Linked DNA regions of Callithrix jacchus. The protein of the gene in region 2 interacts with the protein of the main gene of each other region in a biochemical or structural test. Links are inferred from orthologs where the notes say so. Each region holds a gene or a part of one and is shown on either strand. Other genes may lie near its edges. The genes, in order: FGFBP1, FGF2 and PTX3.

Region 1 (4,179 bases), about 100 Mb from region 2:
ACAACATGTACCAGGTGTCCCACCTGAAAATGGGGATCCTAATTATTACACTTCAACAAGCACCAAACACCACAGACTGATAGATAAAAACATAAAGGATTCTGGAAAGAGAACTTGGGAAGGATCGGGAACTGGAAGTTGCTTTTTAGATTGTTTTTCCATTAATATATGGGGACTACCTTATGAGTTTATTTGGGACCAGACACAGAGAAACCAAGCAATGTTTGAATGTGTTTCTGAAAAACATCCAGAATTTTATTATCTTAGTTAATTCAGCAGAAAGTTCTTCGCACTGAAATTATCACTCTGGCTCATTCAGCTCAAAGACTTATCACATCTAAAAAAAATAAAGCAAATTCCAAAACACGAAAGCAAAAATTGCAAAATCTGTTTAAATATTTTGTTGCACTCACTTAGCACAAAAGTTCTTATCTATTGGGGACTGTAGAGAGCTTTATAGCATACAGAGGAACTTATGACATGACATCTCTTAAGGGAATCCATTCTCTTTTGACCTCATTAGCATGACGTGTCCTGAATCATTCTGAGGAAGAACATGCAGAGAGAGCTCCAACTCTCTCCACAAAAGTCCAGGGCAGTCTTCCTCTGGTTTGCCACATCTGGGTCCTCCATACACTCGGGAGCTTTGGTGATCATGGTCTGGGTCACTGCTGGGCTAGAGGGGGTGTTCTCTTTGTCTTTGATGTGCTCCCTGGAGGACATCTCTGCTTTCTCCTTCCTGGGCTTTGTGCTCCCAAGTAGAGTGGAGCTCACTAGCTTAAGATTGGATTCCGGAAAATCCTCTCTGCACACTCTGGTTTTCACAGCTGTCTTGGGATATTTACAGATGTCTTTCTGTGAGCGCAGACTCCGGGTAATTTGTTTCCAATAGACTCTCTGGTCCTTGAGCTTTAGGCACGAGGTTGGATTGCCAGCAAAGATACAGGAAAATTCATGGTCCAATCGAGTGCACTCAACCTTGAGAGAGATGCCCTCCTCCTGCTCAGTCACAGCCCATCTGCAGCTGGCTTGGTCTTTGGTGACAAACTTGCCTTTGTTCCCAGGCCTCCTTCTCTGCTTAATCTGGGTGTTGCCCAGAGTGTCCTTTTGTTCTGAGACTGCTTTGCTGTGAAGTCCATTCTTCACTTTTTCTTTTCCCTCCACCAGGAGCACCTGAGCAGCCAGTAGGAGGAAGGAGAGCAGGGTGAGGCTATGGATCCTCATGGCTGCAGCTGGGCGGGCACCTGTTTGACAAAAGGCAGGTGAGTCAGTGGCAGGCAGCAGTTCAGCTGTGCAGGACTACACACTGGCCCCCCTCCACCCTGACAGGTATCTGCCTGATTTCAGAGTAGACCAAGAATGCTTCTGGCTCCTAGAGGCACCAGACAAGCAGCCTGTCTACTCACATTTCCACTTGACTTGAATTTTGAGTGTCACAAAACTACCACTCTTAGGAGCCTCACGAATTCTCATTTCTCATTTATGCACTCATCAACTCCTGCACTTGCTCACTCCTCATTCTTTCATTCACTCATTCAACAAGCATTTATTGAGCACCAGAGTAGGTGTTGAAGATATCACCATGAACAAGAAACCTCAGGTTTGAGAGAGCTTAGAAGTCACTCTTTGAGAGAATTTAAATGGCGTCAATTAGGGAATCTATCCCATCATCTCTGCCTCCACTTAATCTGAAACAAGCTATTGCTCCAAACTCTTTTCCAGCTCCAAAGGACTAGATTTCTATCTCACAACTCCATAAGGACACAAATGCCCAAAATGAGAAAGGATGTGGTAACCATCACGGAAGGTGACGTTGTGCCAGAGTTGAACATGCCTGGGGTTTGGGTGTGGTGGGTGGGGTTGTGGGGGTGGGGGAGCTTTTTGGGAGGAAGTAAGAGCCAAAGGAAAGGCATGAGGTGGGGAGGTTGTTTGATTTGCCTGGGCAAAGTGAACCAGGGTGGAGAGAGGTGAATTTCAACTGGATAGTTCACACTACAATGTTGAAGACAAGGATCATGAGAAATCATTGAATCAATAGGATAAACATCAATGTCACACTGAATTGCACAGATCTGATGATGTGTACAATAAAAACCCATGCTTAATAGCAGAAGAGAAGTCCATTTCTGTATGACACCTCTTGTGTGCTACGTACTGGTCCGGGGTTTGATTCCCACCTTGTTAAGTCCACACAACAGCTCTTCTAGGTAACTATTAGTATGTTATCCCAGGTGACAGCTCTGACTCTTAAGGCTCAGACAGGTAAATAAATTGCTCAGGATCTCACAGTGGGCAAGTCTCAAAGCTGGTATGGGTAGCCAGATTAATCTCCCTATTCCTTTCCGTCACCCTGGTTGATCCCTTTTGCTTTTCACATTTACTCTGCCCTTTAAAAACATTGGCAAAGAATAAGAAAAACAACTATGAATGATGCCAATTTAGTTTGATATAATGCATGATGATAAGATGATTTATATTATTTGCACTCCATTTAAAACAAAACACAGAATTTTTATAAAATGGTCCTGATCTAATTTCTACCCTAGAAGTTGGCCTCCTTCTAGGCTTAACGAAGAGAAATACAATCATGAAAGGGCAGAGAACAGCAATAAATAGTGAAGAGGAGGCTACATATGCCCAACTGACACCCAGCCATTTCTCACAGCCCTGGGGCTCAGCCCCCAACCTGCCCATGATGGGTTGCAGGCCCAAGGAACTCCAGGCCCTCAGTGGAGTGAGAAGTGGTGGCATGTAATAAAGCTGTTAAAAGGAGCAAGGCTCTTACCTTGTTCTGAGCACACAGATCCAGTGCGATCCCAGGAGTGAATTGCAGGCTGCAGCTGTCCCAGGTAGTGTGCAAGGGGGTGGACTATTCAACAGGAGCCAGGCTGACTGGGTTTTTATAACACTCACTTTTGACACCTTACTCACAGCTCGTCAGCCACGCCCCTCCGAGGGAGCCCATTCCTGCAGGGAAAGTGCTGGATGTAATCCAGGGAGAAGGCGGGTGACCTGCGCCATTAAATGCTTCCTCCAGGCTCTTCCCTGTTTACTCTGGGTAAAAAAAAATGTAAAAATAGTACTTTTTTACTTAGTAATACATAACTGGAGATATGCAATAGCTTGTCCAAGTTCACAGAGTCAGGAAAAGGGGGATCTCATAACTGAATGTGAGATTCTCTAGATCCATGGTCTGATCTCTTCCTGCCTGCCACTCTCAAATATTTGTTGAATGGGTGACTGAAGTTGCCGAAGTCTTCTTAGTGTCTGAGTTCCTTTTAGCATCTGAAGTTACTACATAAACAGAGGATTTCCTAATTCTAGCAGTAGGGAAATTTATGTTAAAAATTCCCTCTTTACTAGCCTCTCAGAGCCTGGTAGAATCTGGGAATTTTTACTGGGCTAAGCTATTATCATAAAGTAGAGCAGAATCATTTTGCTGGCTCCCAGGGCCTTCCCTTCATGTGACTCCCTTTCCAGCATCTGCTTTGCTCTTTCCCTGCTAGACTCAGCAGCACAGCATCAGAGCAGGCTGTGGGGCAGTTGCATCCTTGGCTCATCCTGCCATCCCAAACTCATTTCCAGGTACACACACCCAGACACATACACATAGATACTGACACACCTACAAAGACTTACACAAACACACTGACATACACTCAAAGACACACACTGAAACACACTCATAGACACACAGAAACCCACACACTGACACATAGACACATGCACACTCATACTCATCAGCATACACACACAGAATCACACACACAGACACACACAGCAACACTGACACATACACAGAGATACAAACACACACATGCGCACACACACACTGCAATCTGGCCACAGTGAAACCCTGTCCCACCATTTGCAGACATTCCATGCCCTTGCCCACTTCCTGCCTTTGCCTCTGCTGTTCCCTGCCCTTGGGATCCCATTCCCGTGCCTCTCCACCTGGCACACACCACCTCATCCTTCAAGGCCAGACTCCAATGCCAGCCCCTCTCTGTTGGTGTCACTGGCTCCTGATCCTCCCTACGCCACCCACACTGTTGTGGATGTCCACGGGGAGAAACATATACTTCCTCCAATGAGCTTACATCGTGCAAGGCTCTGTGCTGAAGCTGTTTCCCCAAGCTTTCTTCACATCTCCATGAGCTTAGGAAACAAGCTCCTTTT
Region 2 (3,648 bases):
CATTAGCATCTACCTTCTCACCCAAACCAGAAACCTAAAAGCCATCTTTGACTTTTCCTTCAACTTTACTCCTAAATCTAATCAATCACAAGTGCTAACACTTTCCTCAGTCCTCTATAACCCACTGGTATTGCCAGGATCCGAACATCACTTGCCTGGACTATGACAGTGACCCTCTAACTGATCTCTCTCCACCAGTCTTGGCCCCTTTAAATCTATTCTCTATACTTCTGCCTGGATGATCTTTCTCAAATTTAAATCTAACTGGGTCTCTTAAAACTCTTCTTGGCTCTCCACTGCTTATAGTCAGCATGATGTGTAAAGCCCTTCAGGAGATTCAGCAGGCAGTCTACCTTCCTGGTTTTCTCTCTCTTCCCTTCTGCCTTGTTATTCCATTGCACTGTACATTCCAGCATTCATTAATTACTTGTAATTATAGAGATGCATCAAGTAGATTTTTGCATCCACACCTTTGCATGTCCCATGTCCTACAATTATCTATATCTTCATCTCTATTTCTTCTGCCCCATGACTGCCTGCTGAACTCCTTCCTCCTCTATATCATCTAAAATCCTACTTGTAGGTCATCTCCCCCAATTCTAGACAAATTTAATCACCTCCTTTTCTGTATTGCTTCCTCTATCATAATACTTATCTTTTCCTATAACACTATGCATGTATGTAAAATATAGAAGTAGCATATCAAAACCCTTATACCTTATTATAAATACTTATTTATACTTCTGTCTCCCCTGGATTGTCACTCATTAAGGGCAGAGACCATCTGATATTCAATTTTATAAGCCTGATGCCTACTATAGCATCTGGCACACTTACACTCAATAAGTAGTGGCTGTTCTTAAAGATGATTCTAAAATTTATTCAACTACCTCCCCCAAAAATTGAGAGCCACTACACTCAAATTTGTGATTTATCCTGCAAAAATCACATAAACTGATAATATCAACATAAGTATATCTTTGTCTTATAATCAGTCTAAAATTGGGATGGTTGAAATATTCTTTTTCTTTTTAAGTCTTGTTTTGGTATTTTTAGAAATCCAAAGGTCTTCATTCAGAAGAAATTTCAAAAACTATTTGTACAGCTCAAAATACCACAATTTCTGATACTATTAGATCCTTTCTTTGGGGAGGTTATATAGAAAGGCTATAACTGGCCAGTGGCATTGCTATAAGAGCTGTGACACACACACACACACACACACACACACACACACACATTTATATATATGTCCTATTTACTCCCTCAAGGAGATAGGAATAAGATCTGTGTCTTTTGTATTTCTTTATTTTCCTGCACCATTCTTCATACACTGTATGCTCAACAGATAAGCAATCCCATCTTTAATAATAATGGTGAAGCTGACAGTGAGTCTGTAATAGTGGACAGAATACTAGACAGGACTAGTACCTCTGACAAGCTGTGATGAAATGTAAAAAAGAAAAGTCCCTCTCCACAGCCAGGCACTGTGGCTCACACCTGTAATCCCAGCCCTTTGGTGGGGCCGAGGCAGGTGGATCACCTGAGCTCAGGAGTTCAAGACCAGCCTGGCCAACATCGTGAAACCCTGTCTCTACTAAAAAATACAAAAAAAAAAAAAAAAAATCCAGGTGTGATGGTGTACTCCTGTAATCCTAGCTATTTGGGAGGCCGAGGCAGAATTGCTTGAACCCATGAGGCAAAGGATGCAGTGACCCAAGATAGCGCCACTGCACTCCAGCCTGCACGATGGAGTGAGACTCCATCTCATTTAAAAAAAAAAGTCCCTCTCTTGACATATCTATATATGAGAAGTAACGTGAGGAGGAAATAACAATTTTCAGGATCTATTATGTGTCAAATGCTGATCTGGATGCTTGTTGTGTTGTATCTAAATTATAAAATCCCAATGAGATAGGATCATTATTGTTTCCATTTTACAGGTAAGGGAACTAACTCAGAATAATTTGCCTAAGAACACACATCTCATAAGTGGCAGAGTCAGCATCTGTACCAGGTGAAAAGTCTACATTCTCAACTAATGTTCTACACTGCAAGTGTTTTGTATGTCACATTCTAAAGAAGAAATTTAAAAACTGATAACCAAAATTTTATACATCTATTCCCACTGATCTTCAATTACACAATAGAAGGAAAACTTTTAAAAATTATAGTTTAATAGTTTTGCAGAGCAAAAGCAGTGATTTCGAGTTCATGACTGTCCCCAGCCCAATCCAGTCTCTACTTTATATGAGCTATTTTCTTACTTTACTTACTCCTTAGAACAGCAGTTCTTGCATCTGTGAAATAGATACTCACCATTTTACAGTGTGACTATGAAGATGATACATGTAAAATACTTTATAAAGATTTGATAAACACCAATGCTTGTAAATTAACTGCAATAAAACCTAACAAAAAACCTGTGAAAACAGAAAGTATGCTTACAGAAGCCAGTAATCTTCCATCTTCCTTCATGGCAAGGTAGCGGTTAGCACACACTCCTTTGATAGACACAACTCCTCTCTCTTCTGCTTGAAGTTGCAGTTTGACTGTAACAGGAAAAAATTATTTTTGTAGCACCACAAAGGAAAAAGTCTTCTCTATAACATTTATACAATATGAAGACAAAACACGCCTGAGCAACAACTAATCCACTTTGGAGGATTGGTGAGGTTGGGAGTATAGGCAACAGGGAGCAGATGTCAACTAAACTGTATGAGAGACGACGAGATGCAGAACTACTAGGGCACCAGTGCCTTGTCAGTCCCTTGTCACCTATGTCACAGGGTGAACAGAGAAGGGGGATAGATGGAGAATTGTTTCCTTGGTTGGGCAATTAGCTTTCAATTGGCCCTGTTAACTGTTTACCTTTTTTTAAGTGAACATATTTTAAGGGTACATAAAAGTGTAGACCATGTGAGAATTCCCACGCTACTCCTTTGTTTAAACTCTTTAAAAATTTATTTGCCAATTCTTCACAAATAAAACACAATCTAATTGTTCACTGTTATAATTTGAACTGTATTTCCTCGATTTCTATACATCTTATTTCTAGCTTCCTCTTCAATGAAATACAGATGCATTTAGCTTTCTATATCGGATTTTGATGTCTATTTTTTGTGTGCAAATATTTATCTAGTGGAAACACAAAATGTTTATACTTAATTTGCTTATACAACAAATGATTTTCATAAAATAAGTGTGAGGAAAGATTTTCATAAACTAAGATCCTGACAAAGATGACTTGTCATACTACATTACCAATATTAAGCAGATTATAGAAAAACAAAACAAAGATATTACTTGATTATGATAATATAATATGAACAAATAATAACCTAATTAACTGAAATAAAAATAAAGATCATTTTGCTATTCAGAGGCAGCATTCTCCTGCCTAGAACAACATTCCTCCAAATGTATTTTGGCTAAGAGATGTTACATAAAAAACAGGTTCTGGGATCAAATGATTTAGAAAAATCTTAATTAAGCCAAGTTAACTCTTTATTACCAAACTTCTCAGAACTCTGCTTATCATAAGATAAGCAAGATAAATGTTTGTCCAACCTATTTTCATAGGTCATCCTATATCCTATGGATATGTTTGGGATATTCTTGAAAGCAACAGAAAAAAAATACAGTTTT
Region 3 (4,436 bases), on a different chromosome or scaffold from region 2:
TTGCCACTTAATCCATGCCTTGAGCTTTTAAAAATTTTAATTGCCTTTTTTTTTTTAATTCTAGAAGTTATATTCGGTTCTTGAAAAAAATCACCTTGCCTTTTTCTCTTTGACAATGTCTTATTCTTTTCTTGTATGTTCAATTCCTTCCTTTAGAGCTTAAATAATTTTAAACATATTTATTTTCTAGCCTTTGGCTGATATTTCAAATAAATAAAATTATTGGGGAGAGGTGTCTAATTCTTTTTGGTCTCTGCTGATTTTCATTTATAGTGGTTTGCTTCCTCACATGTTCAAATATCATAATATCATTGTGATTTTTTTTTTTACAGTGGCGGACAGTATACATTGGAATTCCAAACATGTTTGAGGTCAGGCCCAAATTCACAAACTCAGAGGGACCTTGTAGAGTTCAAAGAGAGACATGGTTGCTTCCTACCTTTTTGTGTTAGGGCAGAGTAGAATGTACCTACTGAAATACAGTATTTAACCCTCTAGGTTCCTGGCTTTCATGAAGGTCTCTTCTAATTCTCCGCCTTTGAACTAAGCTTTGCTTCCACATGGTCATCAACATTTGGTGATTATAGAACTAATAACCCCTAACGGTCTTCATTCCTATTCCAGAGGGGCCCTAGCATCAGCTCATGGGATTGTTGGTTTTGGTTTCCTCTCTCTCTTTGGCTCCTGGATATTTCCCTTACTTTAATGGGAGCCCATCTGTATCTTTTAAGTTTTTATTAATAAATATCATGTGAACATAGACCTGTATATATTGTTAAAAGCAAAAATCTCTATGTTTACTTTTAAAATAGGATCCTTGCCTCTACACCTTGTAGAGTAATATAATGTCTGCATAATACCAAGTTATGAAAAAAAATACCTAAGTAGCTAAATAAGTATATTCCTTTTTTCCAGCTTCCACCCCACCCCCACCCCATTTAGGTTTACCCAGGTGTACGGTGTTTATCATTTAAAAAGTGTGTCTATAAAAGTATAGGTGCAACTACAACAGAAGGATTAAAGACAAGATAGCTTGGATTGGACTTGACTTCCAGAGCCATAACAATTCTCAATATGTTGGTTTATCTTGGAATCAGACCATTTTCATTTTTAACCTGTAAAACAGTGTACAAAGGAAACATGGAAAGTTTATGAAATAAGAACAGCTCACAGAAAATGCTGAAATGATGAATTCCTTCACTATCCTCTGAAATTACTCCCCCTACCCCTTCTTCATTTTCATTGCTATCAATTCATGTTACAACAGCTAATTCTCAGGAGAATAGTGGAAGCCCAGTTTCTCTCCTCTTTCCCCTCTGACTCTGAATCTGACTGCAGTGTAAACCTTTGTGGTTTACTATTGTGCAACTTCCACATTTCCCTCGCCCTCCCACCCAGCCCCCTCCCCCACCAAATCCAGGGGAACTCCCGTTACCACAGTGCCACCAGCATTACTCATTCATCCCCATTCAGGCTTTCCCCAGCATTTATTAAGGGCTCTCTCCTCCAGCCTCTCACTCTCATTCTCCTCTGCTCAACCTCAGTTCACTTGAGAGTCTCCTCCCACCAGCCGTGGAACGAACTTTGCGTCTCTCCAGCAATGCATCTCCTTGCGATTCTGTTTTGGGCTCTCTGGTCTGCGGTGTTGGCCGAAAACTCGGACGATTATGATCTCATGTATGTGAATTTGGACAACGAAATAGACAATGGACTCCATCCCACTGAGGACCGTAAGTTCACTTTAATGTTTCTCTGCTAACCCTGACTACATATCCACGTCTTGGTCTGAATAATACACATATATACTTTGTAGCCAGTGAGACGAGTTAAAATATTTAGTTTGTTTTGCCAAAGTGAGAAGCACTTGAAGAAAGAGGGAGGTTTCAAAGTTATTTCTGTAACGTACATAATGGGTTGAGTCATATAAAATCGCCGATATTTGACTGTTTTGAGCTACATAACCGGCGATTTCATAGGATACAACTTAATCTACACCTGAATGAATGATTTCTGTTGTTCTTGAGACATTTACGTGCTGTTTTTCGGAGGTGTTCTTAAAGGCAAGGGAGATGCCAGGGACGGGCTGCAACTTGGCACCACCGAGGGAGGTCAGCTTTTACAAAGCACATCCTAGGCAGGCCTGGGCGGGCTGGTAACGTGTGTGCATCCCGCGCTCTAGCCACGCCGTGCGACTGCCGTCAGGAGCACTCGGAATGGGACAAGCTCTTCATCATGCTGGAGAACTCGCAGATGAGAGAGGGCATGATGCTGCAAGCCACGGACGATGTCCTGCGGGGCGAGCTGCCGAGGCTGCGGGCGGAGCTAGGCCAGCTCGCGGGCAGCCTGGCGAGGCCGTGCGCGCCAGAAGCCCCAGGGGAGGCCAGGCTGGCCGGTGCTCTGGAGGAGCTGCTGCAGGCGAGCCGCGACGCGGGCCGCAGGCTGGCGCGCCTGGAGGGCGCGGAGGCGCGGCTCCCAGAGGAGGCGGTTCGCGCCCTGGCCGCGGTGCTGGAGGAGCTGCGGCAGACACGAGCGGAGCTGGGCGCGGTGCAGGGCTGGGCGGCCCGGAGCTGGCTGCCGGCAGGTAAGGAGGCTTGCTGGGCCGGGACCTCCCCCTGCGGCTTTGTTCCGGGAGCGCGCGTAACGGCGAGTCAAGCCAGGCAATCTTCTAGGGGAAGCTTTCATGGGAAACACACACACACACACACACCCCTATTTCTCCTTGCACGGCACAGAGCTCAGACACACCATACAAGGCAGGAAAATAGGCTTTAAAAAAGTATTCCTCAGTCCTAAGGAACTCTAAAGAAAATTGTGGAGGTAACCATCACAGTCTTGAAATAGCCTTCTAGGGCCCTGACACCCGTTCTGATCAGACGCTGCAGGAGGTCCACTGGCCGGTTATAACCGTGACCCATCTCGCCGCCCAGCTTCCCTCCGTTAGGGATTTTCACGTCTTCTAATTTTATCTTGCCTCTGTCTTTTGAGGAGCTCTGGTTTCCCGCACTATTTCGGGGCCCAGGCTAACGTTTAGGGATGTTTTCCAGCCCCTCAGCCGGCCCCTCCTCTCCGCCCATTCTCAGCAAGAAACTTGAGGCTGAATCTAATCTCCCGAAGGGTCAGCGGAATTCTCCAGGGATCCCCCAGCCTCCAGGGTTTGTGGAATAAGCGCGACAGGGGAGGTCAGAGGGTGTGCGGTTTGAGATTCAGCGTGGAACAGTCAAGTGTGGGAGCCAATCCGTGAAGGCGATCCCAGCTCCACCCCAGGGATTCAGAGAACTGGGCCAAACAGGAGAGAGACTGTTCAAACCAGAGGCAACTTCTCAAAGTATCCATGAATCTCTAAACAGACATGAGTTCCCAAAATAATACATTCTAAAGATGGTTAAAAGAAAGAAATCGAAGACTTGGAGCCTAGCAATACTCCTTTGTATGCCAAAACTTCTAAGAAATGGTGGTGTCACAATCAATTTGGATTATATTAGAAAATCAGTGTCCTAGGTAAGAAAATATAATCGCAATTTTCCTGAGAATTCTTCCCTATATTTCCAAGAAAACCACTTTTGCTGGATGGGGGGAGAGAAGAAGCATGTTTGAGGGCATGTTTCACTTAAAGTTAGAGAAATTATACCATATTTTCTAAATATTTGAGGAATGCTTATCAGTAAATATCAAATACTGCTTCAGAGGAGAAAAAAACATAAAATCAAAAGTACAGTAGATTCTCAATGTAATAGGAGAGAAATTAGAATTCTGCAGCCATTTTAATGAATGAAATGTGTTTTGCAAACAAAGTCATTGTACATATAATGCACCTGAAAAACTGAAGAATTACTCTATTTTTTAATCTTCATCTTTGCACATTAGTTAGAGCAGAAGAGGGATGCATTTCTGAATTTAAAATGTTAATCCTTATTACATCGATAATACTTTTACCAATATGCTTTGGTTTCTCTTTTCTTGGTCTCCAGCCAACTTGGCTCCTAACCATTCTGTTGTTAGCCTCCTAAGAACCTGGCTTTAATTTTGTTTGGTCTTCGATAATCAGAAAAACCTATTAGTTATCAGCCATTTCATAAGAGTTTCTGATACTTTAAAGAAGTATTAAGAGTCTTCTTTAAAGAAGGCCTTTAAGAGCCTCTTCTTTAAAGAAGGCTCTTACTACTTTAAAGAAAAGGTATTAAGATTCTATCAGAAACTATCTTATGAAATGGATATAACTTTTGGGTTATCACTGGTTCCCAAAAAGAAGCTCACCCAAAATAGCCAACATGTGGTTCATCTATCCATGAACTTAAGTAGCCAGTGTAGCCTAGAGAGAAGCTGAGTCTGAGATGCAATCAAGGAGTGCTTTGGAATGCAATCCTGACTGCCTGGGCTTATTTAAAGAGGAAATCACTTAATTAGATGGCAGTAGGCACCCTCTTGAATGCTACTTT

The links.
Region 1: the proteins of FGF2 (region 2) and FGFBP1 form a complex in vitro, tested with the Homo sapiens proteins (2 studies listed by BioGRID and IntAct, with this or other methods). The link is inferred for Callithrix jacchus from reciprocal best matches to the Homo sapiens genes FGF2 and FGFBP1.
Region 3: the proteins of FGF2 (region 2) and PTX3 form a complex in vitro, tested with the Homo sapiens proteins (3 studies listed by BioGRID and IntAct, with this or other methods). The link is inferred for Callithrix jacchus from reciprocal best matches to the Homo sapiens genes FGF2 and PTX3.

What each region holds. Positions count from the first base shown.
Region 1 is NC_133504.1:177,943,829-177,948,007, reverse strand, and holds FGFBP1 (fibroblast growth factor-binding protein 1), read right to left. Parts: upstream 2,876-4,179; 5' UTR 2,786-2,875; intron 1,245-2,785; 5' UTR 1,225-1,244; coding exon 520-1,224; 3' UTR 224-519; downstream 1-223.
Region 2 is NC_133504.1:74,751,788-74,755,435, forward strand, and holds part of FGF2 (fibroblast growth factor 2), read right to left. Parts: intron 2,553-3,648; coding exon 2,449-2,552; intron 1-2,448. UniProt on the Homo sapiens protein: Acts as a ligand for FGFR1, FGFR2, FGFR3 and FGFR4. Also acts as an integrin ligand which is required for FGF2 signaling. Binds to integrin ITGAV:ITGB3.
Region 3 is NC_133518.1:28,117,291-28,121,726, reverse strand, and holds the start of PTX3 (pentraxin-related protein PTX3), read left to right. Parts: upstream 1-1,516; 5' UTR 1,517-1,600; coding exon 1,601-1,730; intron 1,731-2,179; coding exon 2,180-2,581; intron 2,582-4,436.